Diceros bicornis minor: one gene and its partners. The protein of the gene in region 3 purifies or fractionates together with the protein of the main gene of each other region. This does not show direct contact. Links are inferred from orthologs where the notes say so. Each region holds a gene or a part of one and is shown on either strand. Other genes may lie near its edges. The genes, in order: UBN2, UBN1, ASF1A and CABIN1.

Region 1 (7,659 bases), on a different chromosome or scaffold from region 3:
CAAAGCCCCAGTAGATAGTTGTATGTCATAGCTGCACATCCTTCTAGTTGCTGTATGTGGGACTTGGCCTCAGGATGGCCAGAGAAGTGGTGCCTTGGTGCGCGCCTGGGATCCGAACCCGGGCCAACAGCATTGGAGCTCGCGCACTTAACCGCCAAGCCACGGGGCCGGCCCGAGGATCTTCTAAATACAAACCATATGAGTTAACTGTAAGAAATTTTGTTTTGCTAAGACTTGGTACTAGCATAGAAAGAAATACTAATAAAATTACGTATAACCACTCTGTGCCTCCTCATTAGTAAAGTGGGGATAATGATTCCTACCTCATGGAACTCTGCTGCACTAACTCAGCAAGTCATGTACCAAACTTAGAACTGTGTCCAGCACATAGCAAGAACTCAGTAAACATTAGCTATTAAGTATTTTAACCCAAATATGATGTGTTTTTATCTGTAATTTATGAAACAGATTAGGTAGTAAAACTGCAAACCTAATTTATATTAGAAGATCAAATACAATTTCTTTGAAAAATGCTCCAATCCAATATTTTCAAAATTATTTTAGGGAAAAAAATGACATCACATTTATAAATAATAAGGGCACTAAAGTGAGTCTACAGGGCAAAATGCTATGTGGAAGTGCCCAAAATGATCTCTATCCTTAACACTTCATTTTGGTTGCAAACATTTAGTAATGATTTGACCACATATTTGTAAATAACGATCAAAATACTATTGGCCACAAAATAAACAAGATCTAGTGACAGTTTAATATGATATTTTTAAACTAAAGAGTCATTCATTTGGGCCGGCCCATGGCTTAGCGGTTGGGTGCTCGCGTTCCACTACTAGCGGCCCGGGGTTCGGATCCTGGGCACACACCGACGCACCGCTACTCCGGCCATGCTGAGGCCACGACCCACATACAGCAACTAGAAGGATGTGCAACTATGACATACAACTATCTACTGGGGCTTTGGGGCAAAAAAAAAAAAAGGAGGAGGATTGGCAATAGATGTTAGCTCAGAGCCGGTCTTCCTCAGCAAAAAGAGGAGGATTAGTACGGATGTTTGCTCAGGGCTGATCTTCCTCACACACACACACACACACACACACACACACACAAAGAGTCATTCATTTCAACTATAACGATAGTTGAGGATGAAAACAAAACAAGAGCCTTCTAGAGTCCATTAGACCTGTGCTAAAGCAAAACCTAATAAACAGCATACATAACCTCTAAACAATAGAGAAATTGTTCTCTTAATACTGTTACTCTATCATTTCCCTTTTTAGTTTACTTCTGAAGATCATCAACCCACAACAATAAAAATTACAATTACCAACAAACCTCTCTCCTATCTCCATTGTTCACTAGTTCCATCAAAGGCATACCTACATATTTTCAATAAAGTTTTTAAAAATTCAAAGCTAAGATTTTTTTCATTACTCTCCAAAATTACAATGGCCAAGTGCAATATCCTCCAACTTGGACCTATAAACTAATGACATGCACTCAAATAAGAATATGATTGTAGGCGCCAAATAAACCAGGAGAAACACCTTCTCATTCAATTACAATATAAACTCCAGAGAAAACAAAGCTAAAAAGGTTTACCAATACCAACACAAGAGAGCAAAATAGGTAACCAGATAACTAATCCACTTCTCCTTCATTCCTAAAGTGGAATCCTTAGTCTGAAAAATTTCAGATTACTTTTAAATCCCCTTCGATTAAGAAAGATACCCCCGCGCTCCCAAGCACATCTCAGCAGCCACAGCGTCAAGCATAACAAACACTGACGAAGATGAGGATGATACTAGAGAGGTTACACAATCTCACTGCTTCAGATCGGGGGGCGTGTCCCCCAAGGTTTTCTCCTCCCTTCTACTGGAACGACAACAGGAGCTCCACAAGGAAAATTCAACCACGCAACTTGCAGGGCCCCCACATATGGGGAACAGAGAGAAAAGGAGGAAAATGTGAGGTTTTGAAAGGTGCAGAGGATAAATCGGCTGGGAGCTGCGTTTGCAGCGGGCGCACGACGGGGGTCGGAGGAGCCGGGTGGCAGCCTCGGCCAACCCTGGGGGACAGAGGAAAGCAGCACCAACTACCCGTCCACCCACTCGGCCCTGCCCCTTCCAGCCCACCCTCCCGGGCGACCCGAGACACACATGGTGGGCATCGGAAAGTGCAAACCACTGGGGAAGGCCGTCGGGTTCTGAGGCTCCCAGGGTCTAGGGGATGAGGAAAGAATCTTCTGTACCCGTTGTTCTCCGCACAGCAGCAGCTCCGGGTAACTGAACTCCACGCAGCTCTCGTCGGTGGGATCCTTGAGCACCAGCTCCAGGCGCACCGTCTCCCTCGGCGGCCTCTGCTGCGGCTCGGCCCGGGAAGCCGACTCCCGCGGCGGGGGCGGCTGCAAGTGCAGCTGCGGGAGTGGCGGCGGCGGCGGCTCCGGCCGCGGGGGCTCGCGCTGCAGCGACATGGGCGGCTCGGCGCGGCTGACCTCGCGCGGGGGGAGCGGCTTCTCCCGCGGCGGGGGCTGCGCGTCCGACCGGGGGGCAGCCTCCCGCGGGGCCGGCTGCTCCGCCCGGGCCGGCTCGCGGTAAGGCTGCGGCTCCAGCCGGGGGGGCTCGCGAGGGTACTCGGGCTCGCGTTCGGCCCCCGGGTACTCGGGCTCGCGCCGCCTCACCGGTGACAGGCTAATAAACGCTACTCTGCGCGGCTCCGCCATCCCCACTGTTCTGGCCCTCTGCCTTCGCTCGAGCCGGCGCTCGGTTCTACGCCGAGTTGTTTGCCTGCCCGCCCTTCCTTTTGCTCTCCGTCGCTTTTCTTCCCTCCACCACTCTCAGCCGTCTCCGCCGACGCCACCGTGAGTGCGGACCGTGCCCCCTTCCCCGCCACTATGTCCTGATGAGCTCCACCGCCATCGCCAGGGTCGCCGCAGCCGCCATGTTGGATCCCCCACATAAATAGAAGCAGGCCGCTGAGCGGGCGCATGCGCAGACAAGAGACGCTCGCGTCCACCGTCGTGGCTGTGGCTCAGTTTTCCTCTTTTCCTCCCAACAGTCTGGAGACCAGGCAGGTCAGCGGAAGTGACGTCATGGCAGAACCGGTTTCCTTGGAAACGGAGACGCTGTCTGCGCCCTTCCTAAAAGGGCGGGGTCTGGGGTTTCCTGAGAAGCTTCCTATTCGCGCCCGGAAACCGGAGGCGCGAATGGGGCTCGTCCAAGGGAGAGGGTCGGGATGTGGCCGGGACTGACCGAGTCATGGCGCCGGGTCCCGGCTGGCGCGAGCTTTCCGCTTTCGGCCCTAGAGAGTTGGGGTTGTCAACTGATTATTCAAGGCGGATACGGTGAAAGGGTAGAGGGCCGCGCGGACCGGCCGCTGTGCCTGCCTGCCCAGCGCCCCCGCAGCCCGAAGTATCGAGGGAAGAAAGGAAATGGCTAACTCCAGCCGGACTCGCCCTCGGCTCCGCGGAGCGCAACACTGACTCCCACAGGCCTCCCTTTCCCAGACCGACTCCTGTTTGTCTCGCCCGGCCGCGGTGGGGCTTGTGTGTGGCCTGGTCGTAAAATGCGCAATAACGTTTTGCAGTTGGGAAATTAAACAAGCAGATGGCCCGTTCTGGGCTCGTTCATAAACCCTTAGCTGTTGAAATTAGTGATAGAAAACGTCTCAGGAGGGAGTGGTGGTGTTTCAGGGGATGTGCTTTCCGAAAGTAGAATGCTAAATGACCCATTTCGGGGTGGAGGAGGAGCATTGATTGAGAAAGCCTTGTAGGCACACCTTGCAGACAACTAATTGGAATTCATTTTAAAAGAGTGAGAATTACTATCCATTTTAATCCATTCAATAGAAAGCAACTTTGAGGGCTCGCCCTCCACATCCTGAAAGGAATCCACGCCTCCTGTTGATTCCATTAACCGGATTAACAATGTTAACACCTATTGATGACTCTGGTTGAGTCAGTGTGACGTCAGACAAATTATGAGTAGGTTCAGTTTTTTGCTCTCCTATTACTTTCCCTATTTGTATAAAGATGGTGATGGAATCGATGGTTCAAGAGGTCCCTCCGAGCTCTAAGTTGCTATTATTTTTCCTTGGCACTGTGTTTTACCCCCATTATCTTCTTTCCCATTGCTGCTATTCTGATTCCGCATTAGGATCTCATTTCTGTATTGTTTTAATAGTACTTAAGTGACCGCTCTATCCTCAGTCTCTATTCCTGCTAGTCTTGCAAAGGGGCTGTATTAATGCTTCTAAAACAGTGGTGTTTTTTTGTATCATTCCTGTCCTACCTGCACGTTACCTACGATGTTAAATTCTATACTTAACTCATATTCAAATATTCTCCACAGTTTAGATCAAACAGCAGACTGGTGGTCTGTAGACCAAATAGTTCTGCAGGTGTGTTACTCATCCAACATTATCTTCTGCTAACTTCTAACGCATTGAGTATTTTTCCAACTTTTTGATCCATGACCCACAGTAAGAAATAGATTTTACATTCTAACCCAGTATACACACACACACAAACACACATATCTGAAATACAAGTTTCACAATACTTCCTTATTGTGTAGCATAAAGAACAAAGTTAATATAAACACATTTTAGAATACAATGTAGAAACAAACCTTAACATAAATAGTACAGAAGCATATTAGTAAAGATTTTATTTAATGCCATGGAAGTCCTTACTTGTTCATGGGTTTTATTCCAGTCCAGAAGGCATGAGGACAATGCTACATCACATCTGGTCTACTACTGAGCCTGATCTTTTCCTTTATTTTTAAATGGGTCAAAATTGAAAATCCTAGTTCATATATACGGGTATTGTGAATAGCAATAATGTGAATCCACTTTCTTCTTAGCAATAAATTCTTTAATCTTAATCTAACATGATAAATTCATGTATTGCAATCATTTTTCTGTGTAAATGAAGTACCAAGCCACAATAATTTATTCTCTTCATAGAACATCATGTTTAATCCAATTATTTAACGTTTTGAAGACCAAATGAATCTTATATACAATTGTTTTTGTTTAATGTTTCAAATTATCTTATGTGTTTAGTAGTTTTTAACAATTTTTTGTATCTCTACTATGTTTCCTGATCATATTTGTTGTTCCATCACTTGCAATTCCATTATAAATTGTATAGTTTAATTTTTATTGAACTAAATGCTATTTTCTAATTCTGAAAATATTTTTCTCCATACAGACAATAACTCCTCTATATAATTGTTTTGCTACATATATCTGGCATAGAAGTGTTTTCCTTAAGAGTATTTTAGGGACTTATGGACAAGTTGATTGTGCTGTATTTTCAAATGTCCTTTTAATTTTGAAGGTATTAAGCTTTCATTTGCAGGAAATTCGTTGTATTTTTCTTCTTAGAATGAGATGTAAAGTCAATGTTTTCTGATGAGAGGAACGTTTTTCTCAGTATTTTCACTATTTATGCTTCCACATCCAGCGCTAAACTTGAACATGCTCCTGTATTTTTCAATTTATTATTTCTTTTTCTTCTAATAATAAAGCAACTTCTTTGAGAACAATTTATGCCAATTTGATTAATAAATTATAGTACACACACACAACATACTTGATGACACACCCTATCTCAAAAACATACTTAAAGTTCTTCATTGGAACTCAGTTGAAAATTCTGGGTTTTCTATCAGCAAATAAAATTCTCTTGTACTTCACTTGATAAATCACAAGTAGTTGTGATAATGTAAATTTAGGCAGTACAATGTTGTCTGTCCAACAAATTAACCCAGGAATTCCAATGCGATACCAATGTGTGTATCACCCCTCCCTCCCCGACTCTAGCCTGGGATAAGGATTAGTGCGGTGCCCTCTGATATTTTCTATTAAATTAAATTCTGTTGTAGTCTATTTCATTTTTTTTAAATGCTGCTTGTGGGCCGGCCTGGTGGCGTAAGCGGTTAAGTGCTCCGCTGCGGCCGCCCGAGGTTCGCCAGTTCGGATCTCGGGGGCGCACCAACACACTGCTTGTCAATCCGTGCTGTGGGGGCGTCCCCTATAAAGTGGAGGAAGATGGGCATGGATGGTAGCCCAGGGCCAGTCTTCCTCAGCAAAAAGAGGAGGATTGGCAGATGTTAGCTCAGGGCTGATCTTCCTCAAAAAAAATAAAATAAAAAATAAATAAAATGCTGCTTGTGACCCTCAAAATTGATTTCACAATCCTCTAAGTGGTTATGATCACCAATTTGAAATGAACAGCCACTTTAGCAGTTAGAAAGTGAATAGGTGAGGAAAAATTAATTTTGTTGCTCTGGGGACTTTTTAGGGGTAGAGCATGTCTACCCGTTATGCATTTCCTTTAGAATTTGGAAAATCCTAAATACTTTTATTGAGTAGTGAGGGCCTTTGAGGAGGCTGGGAAGAGGTCAAAATCAATGCAAAGTGAGAATGTCTTTGTCTAAGATATTAGATTATCTAAGATATCTAAGACGTTAGTGTTATCTAAGTGGAGTGCTATAAGATCAGGCACTGTTTTCGTTTCTGTTATATATAAAATGTCCTGTGAGATTAAGCTACTCATAACTTTTTCATCAATAATTACTATCTAAAAGATCTTCAGCACAGCAATTTTGATAATTTTATGAACTCTCAAATCTCATGTTGAAGATCAACGTTCCAGGGTGTGGTAATCTTGCACCTTGGAGAAGTGTACTTACAGAAAAGGGGCAAATCAGGGCCGGCCCACTAGCCTGGTGGTTAAGTTCGGTGTACTCCACTTTGGCAGCCCAGGTTCAGTTCCCGGGTGTGGACCTACACCACTCGTTGGTGGCCATGTTGTGGCAGTGTCCCACATACAAAACAGAGGAAGATTGATACAGATGTTAGCTCAGGGCGAATCTTCCTCAGCAAAAAAAAAATAAGCAAAGGGGCAAATTAACCTCACTCCTTAGTGCCTTCTCCAATAGTGTTGTATCCTAGAGGCAGAAAGCAGGATTGTCCCCAAATCCCTGTCTCCCATCTTCCCCAAAATGAATTTAGCAATAAGGTAAGATGGTTGCCCTCTGGGGTTAAACAATAGGAAAAACTGAATTGGCAATAGCAGAGATAAACAGAATCAACGTAAATAGTTAGAAAGGCCCACCGTCCAATGTTATGTCGGTCCTTCTACGTCAGTCCTCTCTGAGGAAGGCACATTTGAGTTAAGACCAGAATGTCTGGGGAAGATTCAAAGGAAGAGTATTACAGAGAAGGAAAAGCGAGTGCAAGTCTGCAGAGAGAGCGAGCTTGGTGAGGTGGAAGAGAGGTCAGAGTGGTGGGAGCACAGTGTGCAAGTTGGGGAGCGATGTAAGAGACAAATCCAAGAGGGAAGAGGGGCCGGCTCACAGAATGGCACAAGGAGCTGGGATTTTGTTATAAATGAAACCAGAGCCATTGGAAAATTTTAAGTAGGTGAGTAATATGATCTTGGAAGAAAAGCATTTCAAGAAAGTGGGAGTGTCAACTAACTGTTGAACACTACCAAATCTAGTAAGACGAGGACAGGGAGATTATGCCTGCATTTGGCAAAATGGAGATTATTGGTGACCTTGATGAGCTTTTTTGTTTGTTTGTTTTAATTTTCAATTCAGGCAAAGAATGTTGATTTACTCAAACTCTAGC
Region 2 (7,287 bases), on a different chromosome or scaffold from region 3:
AGCGGCAACCAGGTCCCTGCCCCTGTCTGGGCAGTAATTTAAAAATGTAACCTTAGGGCCGGCCCCGTGGCTTAGCGGTTAGGTGTGCGCGCTCCGCTACTGGCGGCCCGGGGTTCGGATCCCGGGCGCGCACCGACGCACCGCTTCTCTGGCCATGCTGAGGCCGAGTCCCACATACAGCAACTAGAAGGATGTGCAGGTATGACATACAATTATCTACTGGGGCTTTGGGGGGAAAAAAATAAATAAATAAAATTAAAATAACTGTTTAAAAAAATAAATAAAATAAAATAAAAATGTAACCTTATCTTGGCCCAAATTTTAGACATTTTAACTTCAAACCTATATGGTAAATCTGCTTCTCTTAGTTGTGGAGGTGACTTTGCCAGCCTGAGAAGTTATAGAAATAAGACTACAGAATCAAACCTACAGCATATTAACACTTAGATCTTGGATTAAGTTTTATAATCATCATGATAATTGCCGTCACTTGTTACTAAATCATTTGCAATATTTAAGAGAATCAAACATATGAATGGGGGCCAGCCTGGTGGCGCAAGCGGTTAAGTGCGCACGCTTTGCTGCAGCAGTCCGGGGTTCGCCGGCTCAGATCCCGGGCGCGCACCGACGCACTGCTTGGTGGGCCATGCTGTGGCGGCGTCCCATATAAAGTGGAGGAAGATGGGCACGGATGATAGCCCAGGGCCAGTCTTCCTCAGCAAAAAAAGAGGAGGATTGGCATCAAATGTTAGCTCAGGGCTGATCTCACAAAAAAAGAAAAAACAAAAACATATGAATGAATGACTTAGACTTACAATTTTAATTTGAAATCCTTAAGAAAATATAACTTTGAAAGTGTGCGTTTAAAAGAACCTTACATTCACACATTTATTAGCCTTACAAGAGTTAAGTCCTTGGAAAGACTTTACTACTAGCTTTATAAGTTCACCGTTCTATAAGTTTGAAGTATTTGAGAGAAAAAGCATATAAAACTTTAAATGCAGTTTAAAACACTTAAGGGAATTTAACTTTGTAAAGCGAATTCACTGTTTAGAGAAATTTAATCTGTTAAACTGACGCCTTAATCGAAGCTTTGTCAAAGATCAAGTATTTTTATTTATATAAACATTCTTAGATTTGTAAATAAAACAAGATTTGAGTAAAATTTAAAAAGCTTAAGAAAAGCTAAGTATTTAAATACTCAACTTTAATGAGTTGAACATTATTCGAAGTAAAAGCACAGTATTCTACACACAAAAACACCCCTCTTAAAAAACTCAACTGATGTTATCCAAGAAATGCTAGCCTCCTTTTGTATCTCAGAGGTTATTCCCCGGAATTGTATATTTTTTTGTTACACAACATCTTAACTACTATATTTTCAAACGGATTATTGGTGAAACAAAGAAAAGGAGAATTTTGTATACTGATTTTACAATTAGTTTCTTTACAAGTGAACTCTTATTTTAACGGTTTTCCCTTAACTTTTTTTTCAAAATAGGCTGACCTCTCATCCACAGAAATGAGAATTTTGTCTTCTCCTTTCTGAAAAATTATTTTTCTTATTTTTGTTTCACGTCTTATTACATTGGCTAGAACTTCCAGAATAATATTAGACAATATATTCTTTGCCATGTTCCTGACTAACGGGAATGCCTGTAGCCCAGTGCGATGTCAATTTAGGATTTACATATTTTTACCAAGTCATTAAAATACCCTTCCAAGTCCTCAAAAAATAAAAGTTTTTAAATTAGGAATGTGTGTTTAATTTCACTAAATTATTTTTTGGAATCTTAAACATGCTTTAAATGATCAGTTTGTCTTTAAAAAACACAAAACAGTCAATGACAGTTCCTGAAACTAACGGACGGTGTTTTAGGGAAACTGAACGCCCAAGAAAAACCAGGCTTCGAACAAGCTAGTTCGCTAAAAGCCCCTTACAACCCAAGTCTCCGCAGAACAAAACGCCTATGGGAGACGCGGGCGGACCCGCCACCTTTTCAAGCAGGATACGACCCAAGATCAGTCCGGTTCTAAGTTAACTCTTCCCTCGGACTCCCTGGAGTCTGCAACTGGCATTGGGACCTTCTAAATTTTGTTCCCTCCCTGGTGTGCGGACACTTGGGCAGGCGCTGTGCTGAACCGCCGATTACAGTTCCCATTCAGTGGCTTAGTTTTAACGTATCGAGACCGCGCCCGGCACCTGCCTTCCTGTTGTCACAACAGCCTGCGCCCAACTTCCCTCAAAGTGTCAAACTACAGCAAGGCAGACGCGAGAGCCCGGTCCCCACAAAGACACGCACCTTTGTCCCCGGCGCGACGCAGGCTACTGCCCCGCGGGCCGCACTCGTCCCCCGGCGGCCGTCCTCATGCCGGCCCGGGAGCCCGGGCTGCGGCGCCGCTAGCGGCCGGCCCCCGAGCCATGCCTCCCCGCGGGCGGCCGGCCCGCGCCGCGGCCCATGGCCGGGTCCCCGCGCGCCCGGGGGAGCCTCGCGGGCCGTGCCGCCGCGCCCGCCCAGGAGGAAGCGGAGAGACGCCGGCTCCACGTCGGCCGAGCAGCTCGCGACCTCGGGGCGGGATGCACCGGCGCCCCGGGACAACTTGCGGCGCGGACGCGGGCTCGGAGCCGCTCCCCGGACCCCGGCCGTCAGAAAGCAGCCTCCGAAGGACCCGTCGGCCCTCCGGGCGCGGCCACGTAGAGCTCGCCGGGCGCGGGGCCCCGGGCGCGGGCGGAGGCTGGCTTCCAGGCCGCGCCGAGGTCTGTCAGGGCAGCTGCCGGCGCGCCGAGGCGGCCGGCCCCGGGGCCCGCGCGAGACTAACGGCCGTAACGGAAGCGCCGAGGAGGAGGGGGCTGGAGGCCGGGACCCGGGGGCGGGGCGGGGCGGACCGCAGGGCCGGCTCCCTCGCGCTCTCGGCCGGCCGCACAGTCACTACCGCCGCCTCCACCGCCGAATCAGACCGCCGGCGCTTCGTTGTCACGAGCCGGAGGGAGGGGGAGAGGAGCCGGGAGTCTCGGGGCTCCGGCGCGCGGAGACCGCGGCTCCCGGGTCACGTGCCGCTCAGCCGGCCAATGAGCCCCGGCGGGCGCGGTGACGTCAGAGCCGCGGCGTGGCCGCTGACAGCCGGCCCCCGTCACGTGGCCGGGCGCACTCCAATGGGCGGCGCCGGGGCGCCCTGATGTTCCCGGCGGCCCGTGCGTCGGCCGTGGTTGGGTGGTAAGATGGCGGCTGTGAGTCTGCGGCTCGGCGATTTGGTGTGGTGAGTCCGGGCGGCCGGGGCCGAGCGAGGTGCGCCGCGAAGCTGCACCCCTGGGCACGGGGGTCGCCGCCAGCTTCGGAGCTGCCCTTCTATGCGCTCCAGGCCGCGAGAGAGGGCGAGACGAGGTGCCGGCGCTGGGAGCGACGCCGGGCGGAAGGGGCAGCCCGGCCCCGGGGGACTGAGGCCGAGGGTGGCCGCGGCGGGCCGGTCTCTGAGCCCCGGACCCGGACGCCGGCGGCCACGGTGGAGGGAGTGCCCGGTGCCGCGCGGCTCCTGCGGACGCCGGGTCCTCGAGGTCTTGCCCAGGCGTCTCGGAAAGCGGCAGAGTCGGGGAGCTGGCGGGGCCATCTCGCCGGGCGAGCCCGTCAAAACCCGCGTTGCGATGGAACCGACCTGTGCGGCGGCTCGGCCCGGGGTGTCGAAACCGGACTGTTGGCGCTGCCCCGTGAAGAAATGGAGGGGGGACTTCTCCTTTACACTCGGAGGCTTGGCGGGGACTAGTGCCTTTCTGGGTGCCTTCGTGGTCCGCTCGTGTGTCCCAGACAACCGCCCGAACTGAGACTGACGCTCGCCGTCTCCCTGGAGCTGCGTAGCTCGTTTCCCGACCCAGAGGAAGGCTCCCATTAGCATTTGTCAGAGCCGGGCCGTCCCGCGGTGAATTAAACCAGACTTGGCGAGGGGAAGTCTGTGTTTACAGAGCACACTGCTCCCCGCCCCCGTCCCGGGGAGGCTCTAGACAAGTGATTCTTGTGGTTTCATTATTGTGTATTTGTTGTCACCAGGAGAATGCACATACCTTATGCACATACGTTTACAATTTTGCATCCCAGCTCTGAGGGATTTGGGCCTCTTGGGCCCAGCTGTGGAAGCCAGATTAAGAACTCCTGTTTGCAAACTTGTTCTGGCACTTGAGGGTGCGAGTGGAGATTTAGAAAATAACTTGCATGTTGAGTGGGTTGAAGGAGATGGACTGGCTTTTCCAAGGCAAATGCTGATTCTCTGTGTTTTCTCTAGGGGGAAACTCGGCCGGTATCCTCCTTGGCCAGGAAAGGTGAGTGTGTTCTACTACTAGAAGCTACTACAGGAAGACATCTGAAGTTGCGTTTGAGAAGGTAGAGAATGTAAGATGCACCCGCCTCAATTTCTAGCATTGGGTCAAACTGGGCCTACTTAAATGACACTCAGAATTTTTTTTTCTCTATTATCAGTTTGTTTAGAAAAAGCAATATAATATAAACCAGGTCATTTAATCTACAGTAAATGCTTATTTCTTGAATCAGAGAGAGTTGTGGTGAAGTCTTTTAACTCTGGAAATCAATTCTAACTTGAATATAGCTTTACAGTTAAATCTAACAAAAAGAGAGGAAAATAAATTCTCCAGGAAGAGAGAAATCTAAATGTAGGTTAGTGAAAAGTCAAAGTATTTTTGTCCCAACTAAGTTTAAATCTTTCCATGTTACCATATGTGCTGCTCTCTCCAGTGCATCTTTGCAAAAGTTGGCATTCCAAATTTTGCATGAGGCGATCCGTCATAGCTTTCCAAATGTTCTGTTGTTATATTCTTGTTTGGAGCCCGGGAAATGTCTTTAGACTGTCTCTTTGCAATATGGCATTTTCAGTGCCTCGGTTGTCCTTCTTTGTCACTATTACCTGTCACAACTCTTCCTGCACACAAGTATTTTTAAGAGTGTCCTGTGTATTTCTTCAGTGATGACAAGGTCACACTGGGGGCAAATAATGTTGGTCTTAGTTGTAAATGCTTTTAAAATGCGGCCATTGCAGTAAAGGGGATATTGTATCTATTGAATGCTGTGCTACATGTTAGATGTAGGAACTTCTGGAATATTTGCATGTTTCCTCACATCATGATAAAGTGCCACATTTGGACGTGTGCTAGGCTCTGGGTTCTTTTTCAGTCATATTCCTTTTGTTTTATTTAGGTTTTTTTCTTGTTAATTTGGAGCTGTGGAAAAAAACTTTTTTTCCCTTTTATCCCCCAGATTGTTAATCCACCCAAGGACTTGAAGAAACCGCGTGGAAAGAAATGCTTTTTTGTGAAGTTTTTTGGAACAGAAGATCAGTGAGTAGTGCTCCCCAAGAGTTGCACTGTCCCTTTGTTTGAGCGTTGCCGTGGGTCTGGGCTGCTTTGAGAATATTCTAGGGACCCTAGTTCCTTCTTACTGTAGTGTATAAGAATGGCATATCATTCTGGCTTCTTACCTAAATATAAAGTGCTGTTCTTATCTCGCAGAAATTGTCTTGGGGCCAATAACAATGTCAAGTGAGAATGAGGGTTCACCATCTTCTACATATGGTAATCATGTTGAGATAGTTTCTTACATCTCTTTACCCAACTTCATAGGCAGTTCCTATTATAAGGGCCATGTTTGTTTCTCTTTTTAATGGCTGTTTATCATGTGGCTCATGCATAACGTATACAGCGAAAACTAAAATTTTATTTACCTTAATAAAAGTAGTGGGGCCGGCTCCGTGGCTTAGCGGTTAAGTGCGCGCACTCTGATGCTGGCGGCCCGGGTTCGGATCCCGGGCACGCCCCAAGGCACCACTTCTCCGACCAACCCGAGGCCAAGTCCCACGTACAGCAACTAGAAGGATGTGAACCTATGACATACAACTATCTACTGGGGCTTTGGGGGGAAAAAAATGAATAAATAAAATCTTTAAAAAAATAAAAAATAAAAATAAAAGTAGTTGTTTGATTCTGTTCTCTTTTGTGAAATTAGATGACTTGCTCTAACATTGTAACAGTAAAGCTTTTTAACCAGATCTGTCTTAGAGTTGAAATCAGGACCATCAATTTGAGATTCTTTGATAGGCCATATAACTTACAGTCAGGGAGAGAATGTGTATTTACTTAAGTTTCTGGTGATTTGTTTAGCTGTCTCATCACTACATCAATTTGATTACTTGGGTCTAGCTAGATGGTTTGATTTCTTTAAGTAGTTGTATTTCTATTTTTGACTCTTACAGGAAAATGTAGCTTTGGGTCTGAAAAACATCTGTGGCTTTTCTGATAAATCTAATACCAATGGTTAAAATACGCATTCCCAGAAAGCGATATATAATATTCCATAGCAAAATCTGTTATAAATACTGCCCTTCACTGACTCAGAAGTTTATACGTCTGAGTGCTTATCCCAGTTTAGAGTTTGCATGGCATGTTTACGTTAACCATATAGATATACTAATTACCTAGGCCCAGTTCTCTGTCACAAACTGATTTAGCAGCCTTTTGATGTTGATATTTCAAGGTAGTCACTGGCCCAGTGCTGTGAGAACCAGAGACACTCTGGAAGAGAGAATGTTCTGGTAATGCCATGGATTTCTTTTCTTTTTTTTTTTTTTGTCCCTGTGAGGAAGATCAGCCCTGAGCTAACATCCATGCCAATCCTCTTCTTTTTTTGCTGAGGAAGACCAGCCCTGAGGTAACATCTATTGCTAATCTTCCTCCTTTTTTTTTTCCCCTTTTTCTCCCCAAAGCCCCAGTAGATAGTTGTATGTCATAGTTGCGCATCCTTCTAGTTGCTGTATGTGGGACGCGGCCTCAGCATGGCCGGACAAGTGGTGCATCAGTGCGTGCCCGGGATCCGAACCCGGGCTGCCAGAAGCGGAGTGCGCACTTAACCGCTAAGCCATGGGGCCGGCCCAATGCTATGGATTTCACAAAAAATTGTCCTGATGCATAAAGCGGTGCTGATTGTGCAGCCACACTCCGCGTTGCTGACACCAAAGTGAACTTCCAGGAAAGCAAATGTGTGGTCTCCACCTTCCAGGAGCTCAGGTGACAAGACATAAACATTTCAGATGAGAGTAAGGACAGAAGGAGTGATGCAGGTAATTGCTAAAGGGTTCTAGAACAAGGAGAGATCAGTGGAGAACAGCTAGGTCAGAGAAAGCTGATGGAAGAGATGGGATGTGAAGCCAGCTCTGGAGGATAAATAGAATTTGGATAGGCAGGAACAAGAAGGGCATTCCAGGCAGTGGGGATACTGTGAACAACTAGGCATT
Region 3 (6,979 bases):
AAGTTCTTTACAGATGGTAAAGAAAAGATCATACCATATATATATACACGTTCCATACACACACACACACACACACACACACACACACACACACACAGTCTTTATTGTGATACCATATTTTGCCTCCCGCAGAACTTGAATCATAATTGGTTAAAGTTGCATCTAACACTTTCTATTCTGTATCATACTGACTTGATTACAGAGTTATCTTTCCTACTAGGCCATAAGGTTGTTGAGGATAATATCTATGTTCCACAGAGTGTGGAATGTTCCACAGAGCCTAGCACAATAATTTCACATAATAAATGCTCTCTCTCTATATATATAATGAATTATTATTAAAATTCTTACTGTAGGATTTATTCCTTTTAGAAATGTCTGTAAACTCCAGCAAATCCCTACATTCTACATTTATACAGAAAATTTCATTTAAAACTATCATTAAATTTTAACATCCTATAACTAATAACAGGGAGCCCTTTAAACTAACTAAGGATCATATTACAACAAGCCTTAAATGAGAATTTTTTTTAAGGATGAGGACAATAATGCAAATGTCTCTTGAAAGAGAATTCAACACAGTGATACCTAATTATCCCAGGTGGAATCTAGGATTTGAACAAAGGCAAGAGGTTAACACTTCCATTCCTATGATAACTTCTGCAGCAGGGAGGGACTGAGACTTGATTTAATTCTTAGTTCTAATACATTTTAACTCAGTATACTTTAATTTAATCCCATTTAATTCTAGTACATTTTGATTCACTCTTTGATCTTGTTTTGTGTGTGACTTCAAATTAACTTCAAGGTTAAGATTCTCAGAAGCCCGCTGCAGAGAAGCTGTGGATCCCAGAAGCAGGCTGCATCTTGTCTCTTCAGAATTTAAGCCGCATGCCCAACAGGGGGTACCTCCTCTGAACAACAGCTACAGCACACCACTGCACAGCCTACCCGCATGGCTCAACCACGCTTCATTTCACAGCACAGAAAGCACTCCATAACTGATCCATAATTAGACTAAATAAACCTAGATTATCAAATAAGCTTAATTCTGAGGGAAAACAATCATAGCTGTATTAGGTTGTTTGTGCCGCCATAACAAAATACCAGATTGGCTGGCTTAAGCAACAGAAACATCTTTTCTCACAGCTCTGTAGGCTAGAAGTACAAGATCAAAGTGTCAGCAGGGTTGGCTTCTGTTGAGGCTTCGCTCCTTGGCTTGCAAATGGCCGCCATCTTGCTGCGTCCTCACATGGTCTTTCCTCTGTGCATACAGCGTCCTTGGTGTCTCGTATGTCCAAATTTCCTCCTCGTATAAGGATACCAGTTAGATTATATTAGGGCCTACCCCAAGGGACTCATTTTAATTTAACCACCTCTTTTAACAGCCCTATCACCAAATACAGTCACATTCTGAGATACTGGGGTTTAGTGTTCCAACATAGGAATTTGGGGGGGGGGGGGCGCTACAATTCAGCACATTAACAACAGCTAACTACGTTCATGTATCTTTGTCCTAGGCACTAATTCCAGCTTTGTTCATCTTAGAGCCAAACGACCTCTTTCAGCCATCCTTCTCCCAAGTAATCTGAACAGAGAGAAGAGATTTGGGGATTACTTTCCATGTAGCCCTCTAAGCATCATGGGGTCCCCCTTGGGTACTCAATACATGAAGTCTTTCATGGTGACCCATCTGTTGCAATATGGTTAGCTGTTTGAGAGTCACCAAAAAGTTGTTCAACAACAGATCCTATAGATTGCCTCGAAAACCAGAATGATGCTTTTATAATTTTTTCCCCCTACAGCATGCCAGTTAATTTAGAAATATGCCAGGGCACATCTGGGAATCCCTTTGGTCTTTCCTGTAAAGTATTGTCACTGGTGAGGAAATTATTGGAGAGAGTGCTCAAAGGCTCTCCAATATTTTTGAGGAGTAGTAATAAAAGAGTTAAGACAATATGGCAATATGAGAGAACTGGAGCCAATTCTTGTGGTTTCCAGCAAAATATCAGGGAGGTTTTTTTTTTCCCCCTTAAATACTGTTGTATATGACATGTTAAACAAAAGATTTCAAATAAAATAACCCAAACTGGTGGTATCCAGGTAGATCATCTCAGTTCTTGATACAGCATATTCACCAAAAGTGAGTTTTACAGTAAGACGAACCTTATTACGACACACCTATGGTCAGATTGCAAAATGTACTTCATTTTACCAAGCTCATAATGTCATTTTCACAAAGCAAGTGAATTAGTATCTTCTCTTAAGAGTGCCTGCAATAATCAGAGAACTGCATACATGATTCTCAAGGGAGTCATGTTTTAATCTTCAAATGGTCATTTATCTTACATATTCAGTGTGTCTTACAGCATATGGCAATTTATACTTTATCTTAGCTAGTGTTAGGACCAGTACTAATAGGAATGATCAGAGAATATAGTTTATCAGTCATAGTAATCTGTGTCTATCACCACAATATGACTCTTGTACTCTAATGTACACAAACAACTGGGCTTGAGGAAATCTTTTCTGGTAGGTTCTATTGACTATTTAATCCACTGACAATAAAATGGGACCCCTGCTCTAAGTAGTTTTCCTAAATGAGGGGAGGCCTGGTATTAGCTGTCCCATAGTAACTTGCAAAAGACCATCAGATGAAGAGCTGCATCAAAAGCAACCTACTTAAGTATGAACAACGCCCAAAAAATGTCAACTCAAAATTCTGGGCACTATACTCAGAGAAAACTCTTCTAGCATAGATGACACTTAAGAAATAACTTTCTCTCTGAATTTAATTAGCCAAGTTTAGTGGTTTCATTCACAACACTGAAGCGAAAAATGACGGTTTATGAACAGCAGGGAATAAAGCAAACCTTTATACCACTCTTACTTATGGTAAACAGAAACAGTTCAACCACCTCACACGTGTGTTAAAAGCTCTCCCTCTCCCCACAACGGTAGTCAAGCAGCATACACGAATCGACACTAAGGGCTGATGAATTAAGCAAAGCCTCCTCCAGACTTGCTTGTGGTGCCCTAAGTTTTTACTTACTAACGATTTAGGTCATGAGTTTTTTGAAAATCACTGTGTTGGTAAGCCTGTGTGTTCTCTACTCTCCTTTTCCTTTCTCATCTGCCGCCCTTTGGTCTCCTGACACTTCCATTTTCTTTTTTTCCGCTCTGCCTACCAAAAGGCAGAAACCTCCGGTGTAACTGATCACATCTCTTCCTCTTATTCTAGGACTTTGCAGATGGGAATGGGAGGAAGAAGAGCCAGGTGGAGCCCAAATATTACCTATTCAGATTTTCCAAGCAAAGCGTGTGTGGAAAAGCGCCTCCTCGCTCTTCATTTTGTATATTTAACTAACGGCGCTGTGGCGCCCAAACGCAGATATTGGCCGAGAACAAGATTTCCAAAATGGCTTTGCTCCTTTCGAGCTGGTATCGGTCTATAAAATGCAATTTATTTCCACTGCAACCAACTCTTCTCTCTACCCCAAATACTACTCAATGCATAGATAGCTGAAGCCAACCTAGTGTGGACAACCGAATCACATCTGCTAAATTCAGTACAGAGCCGGCACAGCCGTTGGACTGATGTAAAAACAGCGTTAAAAGAAACCACACGAAGCAAACCGGAGGGGCGGGTGTCGCCGAAGATCGCGCCCTCCCGCCGCCGTGCCTGCCGCAAGCACGCCTCCCGCCGCGGCCACGCCCCCCGCCGCCTCGGCCGCGGCCCCGCCCCGCCGGGGCCCCGCCCGACGTGACGCGCGGGAGCCGCGGGCCCGGGGGGCGGGGCCTGCGCCGCCCCTCCCCCCCCCCCGCCGCCGCCGCCGCCGCCGCCGCAGCCGGCGGCTTCCGCGCGGGCCTCCCAGCCCGTATTCCACTCACTTTGTTCTCCGCCTTTGTCCTAATCCACACCAGCAGGTGGAGCCGCAGTTAAAGTTTCCGAGTCCATTCCGGGAGCGGGAGCCCATCTTGCTCGCCGCCGCGGCCCTCGCTGGAGGAGGAGGGTCAGAGCTCGGGTGCAGCCAATCGCGGGCAACGCTGCTAGTTATCAGAGCAGAATGGGCTGTAGTTTAGTGAAATAGGAAAGCTGCAAAACACTGTGGAGTGTTCCCGTGTAAATAAAAAGAGGAAAAAAAAGTTTCTCAAGTCGCCGCTGCACGACGTCGGGCCGGCGCCGGGGCGGGGGTCTGCGCTCTCCCGAGCGGCCGCGCGCTGGACTTTATTGTGCCGCAACAAGCCCCGGCCCCATTGTTTGTGTGTTTTCAAAATATGGCAAAGGTTCAGGTGAACAATGTAGTGGTGCTGGATAACCCTTCTCCTTTCTACAACCCGTTCCAGTTCGAGATCACCTTCGAGTGCATCGAGGACCTGTCTGAAGGTGAGTGGGCGCCCGCCCGCCGCCGGGCTGTCAGTTGCGGGCTGCAGACGTTGAAAGTTTCCCGGGCCCGGCCTCGCGCGGGCGGGCGGGCGGCCGCGGCTCGGCGCCCGGCGGGCTCGGCTCGGCGGAGGGAAACTTGAAGTTGATGGGCGCCGGCGCGAGGCGCGCGCGGGTCGGCCGCAGCCGGGAAGCCCGCCGCGGCTCAACTTGCGAGGAACTTGTGCGAGCGGAGGGAGCCATGTTGTCAGCTTTGTCTGGCGGGCGGGCGGGTCGCGGGGCCGGGGGTCGCGCCGGGCTGGCCCCGAGCCGCCAACGGCCTCGGCGGCCCCGGCGAGGAGACCGGGGAGGGACAGGCTCGTGTGTGGTCGCGCCGGCGAGTGAGCAGCGGAGCCATCTTACCGGGAGGAGAGAATTGGGCCACCGACCCCGGCGTCACGACGCCTCCTCTCCGCGGGTGACGAGCGCGGCGCGGCGCCTGCCCACCTTCCTGCCCCCGAGCGCCAGGCAGATCCATTTTTAGAGCTGACGCCGGGCTGCCGTTCTCCTGGGTGGCCGTGCCCGGCCGCGCCGCGGGGAGCCAGGCTGTCCTCGCGCGGATCTCGGGCTCCCTCGACCAACCAGCGGGGGAGGCGGGCGCAGGCTCGGGCCCGCTCCCCGGGGCCGCGGGGGCTCCCGGCCGCTGCCGCCCGGCCGGCGCCCGGGATGCTCGGGGCGCCCGGGATGCTGGCGCGCAGGCTCGCCCCGGGCTGCGTGGACTCCTTTTCCGTAATGACTAAATCTTCTCTCCTCTCTCTCAGGAAGAAAAATATTGCTAAGCTAGAAAGTTACATTTAACCCAAGAGCAGAAATAAGTAAAATACTTAAATGTAATCACTGGCTTCTAAGTAGTCTGAAAGAAGACTTGCTTCAAGAACGTGTTGAAACCTAATTAAAATAACTCCACATCCAAACACCCTGAACATAAAACACAAAAGTGGGCTAGGAAATAAAAGGTAAAGTCCTGATGGCAATACAAAAATTTTTACTATTTTTTCTAAGTTCATTTTAAGGTCTTCAAAAAGAGAAATATTTTTAATATGTGCAGTAACATTTAGAAAGCTAAAACTTGCCAAGGTCTTATCTTTGCTTTTCTTAGATTTTGTTAAAATAGTCCAGTGCTTCATTTTCAAAATTTGAGGGGAAAAACTTTTTAACTTCATCAATGGTAATTTTACAATTAGACAGACATACTTCTTTGGACTTACAAGTATACTTAACAAAATGCATTTAAAATTATTCTAATGGCATGTAAAGCATTTTCACTTTAAAAATTAATTTTTAATCTCTATAAAATGTATTTTGTGTAGGGTGTTAACTTTTTAAATTATAAAAGCAATACATGCTCATTGTAATAAACTTTTAAAAGTTGTACAGACATATAAACAGTCCTCTGTATGCAGTGCCTTCACCCAACTCACTCCTGTGTGTAACCATAATTAACACTTTAATCTGTGCTCTTCCCATACAGTTTTAATACATATATAAAGCCTGTATACACATATATGTGTCACATTTTGAAAGATGATTCATTTATTAAACTAATTTTTAAATAGGCCATTGATAATAAAAATTAAAGATGATTTTTCGTATCACTCTGAAACCATTTGATTACTTTCCTGGAGTACTACTATAAGCATTTCAGCTACCAGGCCCATTTTTCATACCTAACAGGCACTAACTTTTCCTTTTTATTGCCATCTGCATGTAAAAATGAGTGAATGCAACAGAAACCATTGATCAGTCCATTCCAACATATACTATAGTGTTTTAGACATTAGAAGTTCTTCAAATTACAGATATTTCTCAAGTGATGCCTTCCATTTTAGGAGCTAGTTCTGACAAGGATGATAGATGATTCAGGATGTTGTTACAGGGCTTAAACATTGGATGGCTGAAACCCGCCATTCATGGAAGCACAACTATGCTCCATTCTTAACTGGGATCTATTCAGAACTCAGCTGAATCACATCAGAGTTTTTACAATACTAATGTCAAGAATATACCTACTTCTGCTTGTACACCTCACTTTCCTGGGCATCTATACTTGGCATTTATTTAATATTTTTTCAAAGAGTTTAAGCTGAGTCATACCGAAGCTGCAAAGGAATCTTTCAAAAAGGAGCTGTGCTTGTGTACTCCACCTAGAGGCTGTGTGGATTAAGAAAATTGAGTTTACTTAGCAAAGGCTTCTTACAGGTTCCATACTTTCGTATTGCAGTTCTTAAGGAAAAAAAAAAATCTATTCTTGAGATGAAACTACAGAACATTCTGAAGAGAAATTTTCACTTGATAATTTTGTCTCAAGTCCCAAGCGAGAAGTTGGCGACCATTTTTCATACTTGTCAACAGCCCCCAAATATTTTACTTTCCTTTAAAAAGTGGCACAGTAGCTTTGCTTCAGAAAAAGCCTTGAGTATTTGCTCTTAAGATAATTTAGTTCTTTCTAATATAATGCTTATATCAGTGGACTGCTGTCCCATCCACTGAGTTAAGCAGAGGCTATCCTGTCATCTGGGAGATATGAGACCTTGGATGTGTTTGATCTGATGGTCA
Region 4 (7,786 bases), on a different chromosome or scaffold from region 3:
GGACACTGCTCTGAGAACACCTTTGTGTATGGCTCTGACTCTTAGAACCACAGTCATGTTTCACACTCAAAAAGTAAACAATTGAAATCACCTAAGATCTAGGGGGAACCCCAAATGGAATATACTAACAATGAACCTACTGTATTACAAATAACATAACCACACTGAAGGGCATAAGGAAGAAAAGAACTAACCTAAGCAACCGTGGAAAACAGCAGCCTGACTGGATACTATAAGGCTAAAGACAAAAAGAACTGTGATTCCAGGGTTGGGGCAGAGAAAATACAAAATGAGCCTAGAACATCTTGCGGTGCCAGAAAGTAAGCAAGTGCTCAAAAAATTGATGAGGGTTTGTCACAGCTAACCTCAAGGAGATCCTAAATAGCCAAAGCCGGAACAGTGAGCAACAAAATGATGATAATATTAGATTCTGACCCATAGAATACAATGAATATCCATGGCGTCCATCCTGACACAAATAATAATCAAATAAATAAAGGAGAGAAGGGATAGCTCTTCCTTCAATTGAATTTCAATTAATAAATGTAAAAGGAGAGAGAGAAATAGGAAATTACCTTTAGGCAAACAACACAAAGATCCACAGGTGGATGCTAAGGTCAGTGAGTGTAAATCTGTGAGAACCGGAATTTGCATCCTCTCAAAGTATCTCCCCAAGACACTTACCGACTAGAAAGGGAAAGAGAGTGACTTCACAGTGTAGAAACCTGGCAACACCAACTGAATCAAGTGATCAAGGTAAATATCGCCAGTAATAAGACACAACATCATCTTCAACTCCTCGATATGATGCACTGAGAAGAACACCATGTTTGTGTTGTTCTGGCCAAAAACACACAACGTCACTCCAATCATGAGAAAACACCAAACATACCCAAACTGAGGGATATTAGACAAAATAACTGATCACTACTCTTTACAAGTAGAAGGCCAAGACAAGAAAAGACCACGTAACTGTTAAGCACTAAGGAGAAATGACTTAACGCAATATGGGATCTTGGATAGGATCCCGGAATGAAAATAGAACACTGGTGGAAAAACAGGTGAAATTCGAACTAGGTCTGTAGGTGTGATAATAATATTGTACCAATGTTACTTTCCTGTTCTTGATAATTATACTATGATTATATAAGATGTTAACCTGAGGGGAAGTAGGTTGAGTGACCTATGGGAACTCACAGTATTATTGCTGCAATATCTAAATCTAAAATTAGTTTAAAATAAAAAGTTTAAAAAGAAACAACCATCTGAGATTATGTATTTATCATCTGTAGCAATGTGAGGATGGGGACCACATCTGTATTGTTAACCACAAACCCACTAAAAGGAGCTTAAAAAAAAGCAGCTACTGCATATACATAAGAAAGTATCTACTCATTTCTCGGACTCGCAGCCCAGCAGTTGCACTTTCTCAGAATAGCGCATTCAGGAGTTCAATCTTACAAGTTTCCAAATTCCTCAGAGCATGGTTTTCACGGCCTTAAGAACACACGATAAAGAAGAGCACACTCTGAGCATCTCATACCCGGGTCCAGTGATGAGCCGTGACGTCTCCTGTGTGCTCTGGCCCGGAGCCGGGAAGCCTAGGTCTGCAGCTCAGGGTGGCACTACCAGGCTGTGCCGCTGACTTGCTCTAAGATGCCCCTCTCCGAGTCTCAGAGTAGGAAGCTCTAAACTAGACCAGGCGTCCGTCCACAAGCTAATTAGCCCACAGTTTTTGTACAGCCCAGGAGCACAGAATGCTTTTTACATTTTTAAGTGGTTGAGAAACTTCGTGACACATGAAAATTATATAAAATTCTAATTCCAGTGTCCATAAATAAAATTTTATTGGAAAATGGCCACTCTCCTATGTATTGTCTTTGGCTGTATCCACAGTTGACACCAGAGTGGAGTACACAGAGTCTGGCCCACAAAGCCTAAAATACTTACTCTTATAAGTATGATTATACTTATTATATTCACAACATATTACAATACTATTCCTGGGCCAGTCCCGTGGCTTAGCGGTTAAGTGCGCGTGCTCCGCTGCTGGCGGCCCCGGGTTCGCATCCCCGCGCGCACACGACGCACCGCTTCTCCGGCCATGCTGAGGCCTCCTCCCACATACAGCAACTAGAAGGATGTGCAGCTATGACACACAACAATCTACTCGGGCTTTGGAGGGAAAAAATAAATAAATAAAATCTTTAAAAAAAATACTATTCTATTATTATATTTACAACAAAAGTTTGCGGGCCCTTGAAGCAGCCCCCTCTGAGGATATTTCAGTTCTAACCACGGTTATGAACCACACGGAAGGCACCCTGGCCGCCCGGGAGCCGACCGTCCCACGGCCACGGCCTGTCGTACCCAGGCCCCAAGACTGAAGTGGCGCCCCCAGCCGCTGGAGCAGACACCTGCGAGCGCCGGCAAGCTCCGCCTGGCCAGGCCCGCCCCGGCCCGGGAGGCAGCGCAGTCAAGACCGCCGTGGGGAATCGGGCTGCCCCCCGGTTAGCTGGGTGACTTTGGACGAGTCCCCGGACCTCCCGGCCTCGGTGCCCTCCCGGTAAAGGGCGATCATCACAACACTCACCTCGCAGGGCTGCTGCGAAGGTGAAGGGCAAGGACGCGAGTCAAGGGTCAGCGCCGGTCTCGGCCCGGGCAGACGCGGGATCAATGGCGGCTCGTGCTGTGGTCCCTGAGACCACTCCCGAGGCCGGGCCCGTCCTGGCCCCCGGGGCGGCGGCTCGCCGTGAGGCGGCCCCCGGGGCGGCCTGGAGGCCCGGCCTCGTCGCTCCCGCGCTCCGGCCTCGGTTTCTCCGACGGCCGCACCGAGGCTGCCGGGGGATCCCCCAGCGCCGGCCGCCCCTCAGGCTCGCGCCCCCACCCCGCCCCGGCTCCGCAGAGTCGCGCCCCACCTCCCGGGGGCCGCCCCCAACCCGCGCGTACACCCGCCCCACGCTCCCCGGCACTCACCAGGCATCTCCACGGCAACGGCCCGACCGCCCCGTCCCCCGCGCCGGCCGGCTGCGCGCCTGACAACAAGGCGCGCTCCCATTGGCTGCGGTGCCGGCTCCGCCAGCCAATCAGCGAGGCGCACGCGCTGCTCCACCGCCCGGCCGGCGGGCTGCTGGGCCCCTGCGGGTGGCGTCGGGCGCCGAGCCGAGCGGCCTGAAGCGCATCTCGAACCTCCGTGAGTCTCCGCTGTGTGCGCGCGCTGCTGTGGGCTCGGAGCGCCGGCTCGCGGAGCGGTCGGACTCCCGGCTCCACCGCTGGTAATACGTGTGAAGAGTCGGGCTCGGTGCCTGGCCCCGAGCAGTCGCCAAATGACGGGCTGTGTTATCGTTGTTACAAGCGGGACAGGTGCTCTGAAGGCAGTGGAAACGTGGGGAACGTTTAGAGGGAACCCGGGGAGGAAGAGTCGTCTTCTTCATATTACCTGTGCCTCACCTCTTTCCGAAAAGGATTTGAAGCCCAAAGGCACAGATGCAATCAACTAGTGAAACAAAGGGGGGAAAAACCCAAAACTCAGAGACCCGGGAAACGAGGGAGTGACAGCATTCCAGAGCCGAGAAGAGGGTCCCGCACGGAAGGGTTGCCGAGCGCGGCTTCAGCTTCGGGCTGAGAGACGTCACGCTCTTGGGAGCTAAGCGTTTTGGGGGAGGCCTTCACCCTGTGGTTGAACCTCATAGCTGCTGGAGTCCAGCAAGGATGATTTAAATAGCAATGAATGACATGACTTTCTTTTTGACTTTCAAGACAGTAAAATCCTGGTGAAGAACTCATAGAGTCAGTTCAGTACAAGAAAGCTTTACTGATATGCCAGGAGGTACAAAAATAATTGAGTCACTAACTTTGATTTTGAGAGGCGTACAGCCTTGGGGGACAGGGGCAATGAACAGAAGCATAAACAGATGGTTTCAAAGTTTCATGGATAACATGCAACCTAGGGTGCAGCCTCCACCCCCAGTTGTATCTTGAAAGGGGCTCTGGAGACAGTCTGAGACAGTCGAAAAAACATGAGAAGGGTGGTCCAAACAGCAGGGAGCTGTGTGGCAAGGGTTTGGCGGTGAGAAAGAGTGCAGGCCACAGGCAGAAGCCTTGGGCAGCACGGTATTGCCAGGGGACAAAGCTCAGGGCCACAACGGGGAGATAATGCTGGAGAGGGGGGAGGGCCAGTCCCCACAGCAAGCAGATGACATCCCTCTCACTACAGTGGGGTGAGAGATTTAAGGTGGGGAGACCAGATTGGAGGCTGTTGCCTTATGGTCCTGGCAGGGGCTAGGGCTGAATCCCTCCTTGGGCACTTCAATCGCTCTTTTACATACAACCCACAAATATTCCCTGAGCCCCTCTGGGAAGCAGGACACCCATGTTGGCGGAAGGAATGACTGCAGAAACAGTTGGGACAGGGAGCCAGGGGAAGGAATTCCAAGCTCTAGCTTTTCGTGAGTCTTCAGCAGTGGTCAGGTACAAACACAGCAGGCAGAGGCACATTCCACTGGAAACTAACTTTGTTAACTAGGTGGACTGCGTAGACTGAACATCTCCATCTGGTGTTTCACTGGTGCACTACAGACAAGGATGATCAAACCTTTAACTGTGCAGGGAAACACAGCACCCACCACAGAGTCTTAAGACATGTAAACTCTTCATTGAACATCTGGAAGGAAACTGAAAAGGACACTTCCTCTGGGCTCCCCCCACCCCACCTGTATATTCTCTGAAATGCAAAAGCATGACATGGTATTTTGATGGGGGGGCGGAGATCCCATTCATTCACTTTCTAGTGGCAGACATTGCCTTTCCAGGTTTGCCATTCTGGGACATGGATTTTACAAGGTGCACAGCTACAGAGAATTCTCAGCAAGACTCATGGGAGAAGACGGAGTTTGGCAACGCCCAGGAAAGGTCTCTGAATCCCAGGCTGCCCTGCTCTCCTGCTGGGCACAGCAGTCCCCTTCAAGGGGAGGGAACTGCCCAGACCAGCCCAGGCTGAGAATGGAAACATCTGGTCAGCAGAGTCTGCAGGAAGGCCCAGGCTAGAGCAGGCTGGCAGCCTTCCCTACCAGCCTGCACATGGGCATGGAGAGCAGGGCCTCCAGGCTGAGCCCTCCACCCTCGGATTTGAGCAGCCTAAATACAATACATGAAAGAGCGGCCCTGAAGACAGGCAACATCCCACCTCCCAGGTTCCCTCAAGTCCCCACCTCATTAGCCAGCCCCTCTGCCCAGGATGGCCCAGAATGCCAGGGAGGGGTAAAAGGAAGTAAAGAAGTCGTGTCTGAAAGACGAAGCTCTCTTCATTTATTAGAATGAGGATGGGGAAGAAGAGGATTGTGAGGTCACAGGCATGTCTGCACGTGGGGGTGCCAGAAGCTGGTATCCACCAAGCCCTCACTCTGCCAGAAGGCTTCTGTGGAAGGGGCCGCCAGCTCACAGATGCCCTGGATGCTCTCCATGCCAATCATAAAAAAGTGACGACTGTCCCCTTCTTGCCAATCTGCCAGGGCTCCAGGGGGAGAAAGCGCATAATTATCCTTCAGGAGACAAAGAAAAAGATGTCATCAGCTCCTTGGCTAATTATTCCAAGACCCCTAGCCAGGCATTCCCACCATGGGCTCCCCAGCCAGCCGGCCTTAGCCCCCCGGGCATTTGCAAGCCTGCCTCTCCTCCCAACCCCCAACAGGGCAGTGGGCCTGTCAGGGGCGGGGTGGTGGCTGCACCTCATTGTGTCCCACCCAGGAAGGCTACTCAACACAGCAGCCTCTGTGGTCACTGTATGCCCTGTCTATGGGCTCAGAGGGCAGCCCTCCCTCTTCCAAACTGCAGGCTCCCAGGACACCCTTGGGGGGAGTATGTGTGACCACCTCAAGTTTTCTCATCTGTAACTAGGCATAATGGAGGTATCTACCTCATGGGGGTGGCATGTCTGCATGAGCGGGTGTGCAGAGGGGAACAGAGTTTGTAAGGATCAAATGGGATGATGCCCGTAAGGCACCTATAGGGCACCTGGCGCGTGATAAGTATTCGCACATTACTTATTGTTGTTAGAATTATCGTCTCTCCTCACCTTGAGGACCAGGTCCGAGCACCTCCCAGGAGTGACCATTCCTCACCAGCCTTTCTGGGCCAACAAAGGCTCCATTCTCAAAGGTTCTTTCAACCTTCTCATGCCCTTAGATCCTCACAGGCATGGACTGGGCTCAGGAATATTTTTCGCCCAGGAAGAAACTTTAACCTTGCCACAGGATCCCAGGTTTGGGAGCTGTAGGGGCTTCCTGGGGAATCACTGAATCCATGCCTCTCTATTCACAGAAGAGAAGGCTACAAACCAGAGAGGGTTCACTTCCAGGTTTGTCTGGGTCCCCAGCTCTGCTAGACCCAGAACCCAGGCCTCCAGACATCTGGACCAATGCTCTTACCACTACTCCGTGACCCTCCTGGGAGCCTTACCTAGGACCTGGTTGGGCCACAGGCCCAAAGGCCACAGCCTCAGGACATACCCAGAATTCCACCTCACCAGGCCAGAGAAATTCTCCAAGAAAATTACTCTTGATTTTCTAAGATGTAGGCAGCTGATATGGCTATGGCTTTGTCAGATAACAACATCCTAACCTGCCAGGTGCGGAAGCAAATATAATACATTGCCATCCCATGCAGTGTCCCCAGGGAGTGGTTAAAGGAAAGGCTTCCCCCTTCACAGATGGAAACACAGAGGTTTAAGAGGTCACGCCTTGCCCAGGTGTCATAGGGACAGCTGCAGAGCCAGGAATTCATTCAATTCTGATACCACTCTGAAGGCTGACCCTCCACCAGGGGGCCAGAGAGGTCAAGGGTCAAGTCTTCTGTAGTGCCAGGAATTTATTTTTTCCCCCAACTTTAGGAGGGGCATTGAGGTAGGATCACTATCCCCCGGTGGCGCAGCAGTCCAAGAGGGTCCTCTCCCTGCTCCTACGCACCGGTCCTGGTCCAGGCCCAGTTCCTTGGTGAGGAACTCGAAGAGGCGGGCGCTGTGGCCGCGGTTCTCCTCGGCCGTGCCCACCACACCGATGGAAGAGACGAGCAGCTGCGCGCAGGGCTCGGTCGAGCCGTTCACCGCCATGGCCAGGCCCGGCCGCACCGTCGCGTTCACGCGCTGCGGGGGACACGAAAGAAGCCGCTGTAGGCCAGGCTCGCTCTGAGGACAGAACGGCGCGGGGTCGGTCCGAGACGCACGGGCCCGTGGGATCAGGACTGGGGGCACCGGCCGGGGTCCCTGGAGGTCACGTTGGGGTCATGGCTGGGGAAGGCGACACGGAGCAGACGTGGGGAGTGTGGAGAGCGGGAGGTCAGGGGTCCCTGTCGGTCACGGTGGGACAGCCGGGGCGTGGACAGAGCCCGACCCCTGGTCCACCGACTTCCCCCAACCCGGTGCTCCCAGGCCCACGCTCACGTCCTCGGGTTTGCCCAGGATGGCGGCGGCGGCCGCGCAAAGCCGCTTCTCTAGTCCTGCGGGCACGCGGCCGGCGGGCAAGTTCGTGTCCAGCTCAAGGAACGGCATGTCTAGCAGGAAGGCGCGCAAACCACCACCGCGGAGAAAGAACGCGCGGAGTCCGGGTCCATGTTCCAAGGGTCAGAGACTAGGGGGCAGGGGCGGGGCGCCACGGGAACCGGGCTCCTCATTGGATGGGCAGGCAGGCAGCGCCCCCCGATTGGCTGCCTACCCCGGCCCGGCCGACAACCTCGGCGTACGCGGGAGCTGATTTCCGGAAGTCCTGCCGCCCCGCCCACTCCGTGTAACCCC

What was found.
Region 1: the proteins of ASF1A (region 3) and UBN2 purify together in Homo sapiens (affinity purification with mass spectrometry; 3 studies listed by BioGRID and IntAct, counting the BioPlex papers as one, with this or other methods). This does not show direct contact. The link is inferred for Diceros bicornis minor from reciprocal best matches to the Homo sapiens genes ASF1A and UBN2.
Region 2: the proteins of ASF1A (region 3) and UBN1 purify together in Homo sapiens (affinity purification with mass spectrometry; 6 studies listed by BioGRID and IntAct, counting the BioPlex papers as one, with this or other methods). This does not show direct contact. The link is inferred for Diceros bicornis minor from reciprocal best matches to the Homo sapiens genes ASF1A and UBN1.
Region 4: the proteins of ASF1A (region 3) and CABIN1 purify together in Homo sapiens (affinity purification with mass spectrometry; 4 studies listed by BioGRID and IntAct, counting the BioPlex papers as one, with this or other methods). This does not show direct contact. The link is inferred for Diceros bicornis minor from reciprocal best matches to the Homo sapiens genes ASF1A and CABIN1.

What each region holds. Positions count from the first base shown.
Region 1 is NC_080742.1:86,985,289-86,992,947, reverse strand, and holds the start of UBN2 (ubinuclein-2), read right to left. Parts: upstream 3,019-7,659; 5' UTR 2,738-3,018; coding exon 2,267-2,737; intron 1-2,266.
Region 2 is NC_080765.1:43,773,070-43,780,356, forward strand, and holds the start of UBN1 (ubinuclein-1), read right to left. Parts: upstream 3,008-7,287; 5' UTR 2,304-3,007; intron 1-2,303. Other genes in the region: GLYR1 (cytokine-like nuclear factor N-PAC), read left to right, coding at 3,221-3,258, 4,273-4,309, 5,259-5,338. UniProt on the Homo sapiens protein: Acts as a novel regulator of senescence. Involved in the formation of senescence-associated heterochromatin foci (SAHF), which represses expression of proliferation-promoting genes. Binds to proliferation-promoting genes.
Region 3 is NC_080762.1:17,473,865-17,480,843, reverse strand, and holds the start of ASF1A (histone chaperone ASF1A), read left to right. Parts: upstream 1-3,973; 5' UTR 3,974-4,278; coding exon 4,279-4,387; intron 4,388-6,979. UniProt on the Homo sapiens protein: Histone chaperone that facilitates histone deposition and histone exchange and removal during nucleosome assembly and disassembly.
Region 4 is NC_080774.1:28,585,529-28,593,314, reverse strand, and holds the start of CABIN1 (calcineurin-binding protein cabin-1), read right to left. Parts: upstream 3,018-7,786; 5' UTR 2,977-3,017; intron 2,803-2,976; exon of another isoform or gene 2,594-2,802; intron 1-2,593. Other genes in the region: DDT (D-dopachrome decarboxylase), read right to left, coding at 5,468-5,540, 6,963-7,180, 7,436-7,543. UniProt on the Homo sapiens protein: May be required for replication-independent chromatin assembly. May serve as a negative regulator of T-cell receptor (TCR) signaling via inhibition of calcineurin. Inhibition of activated calcineurin is dependent on both PKC and calcium signals.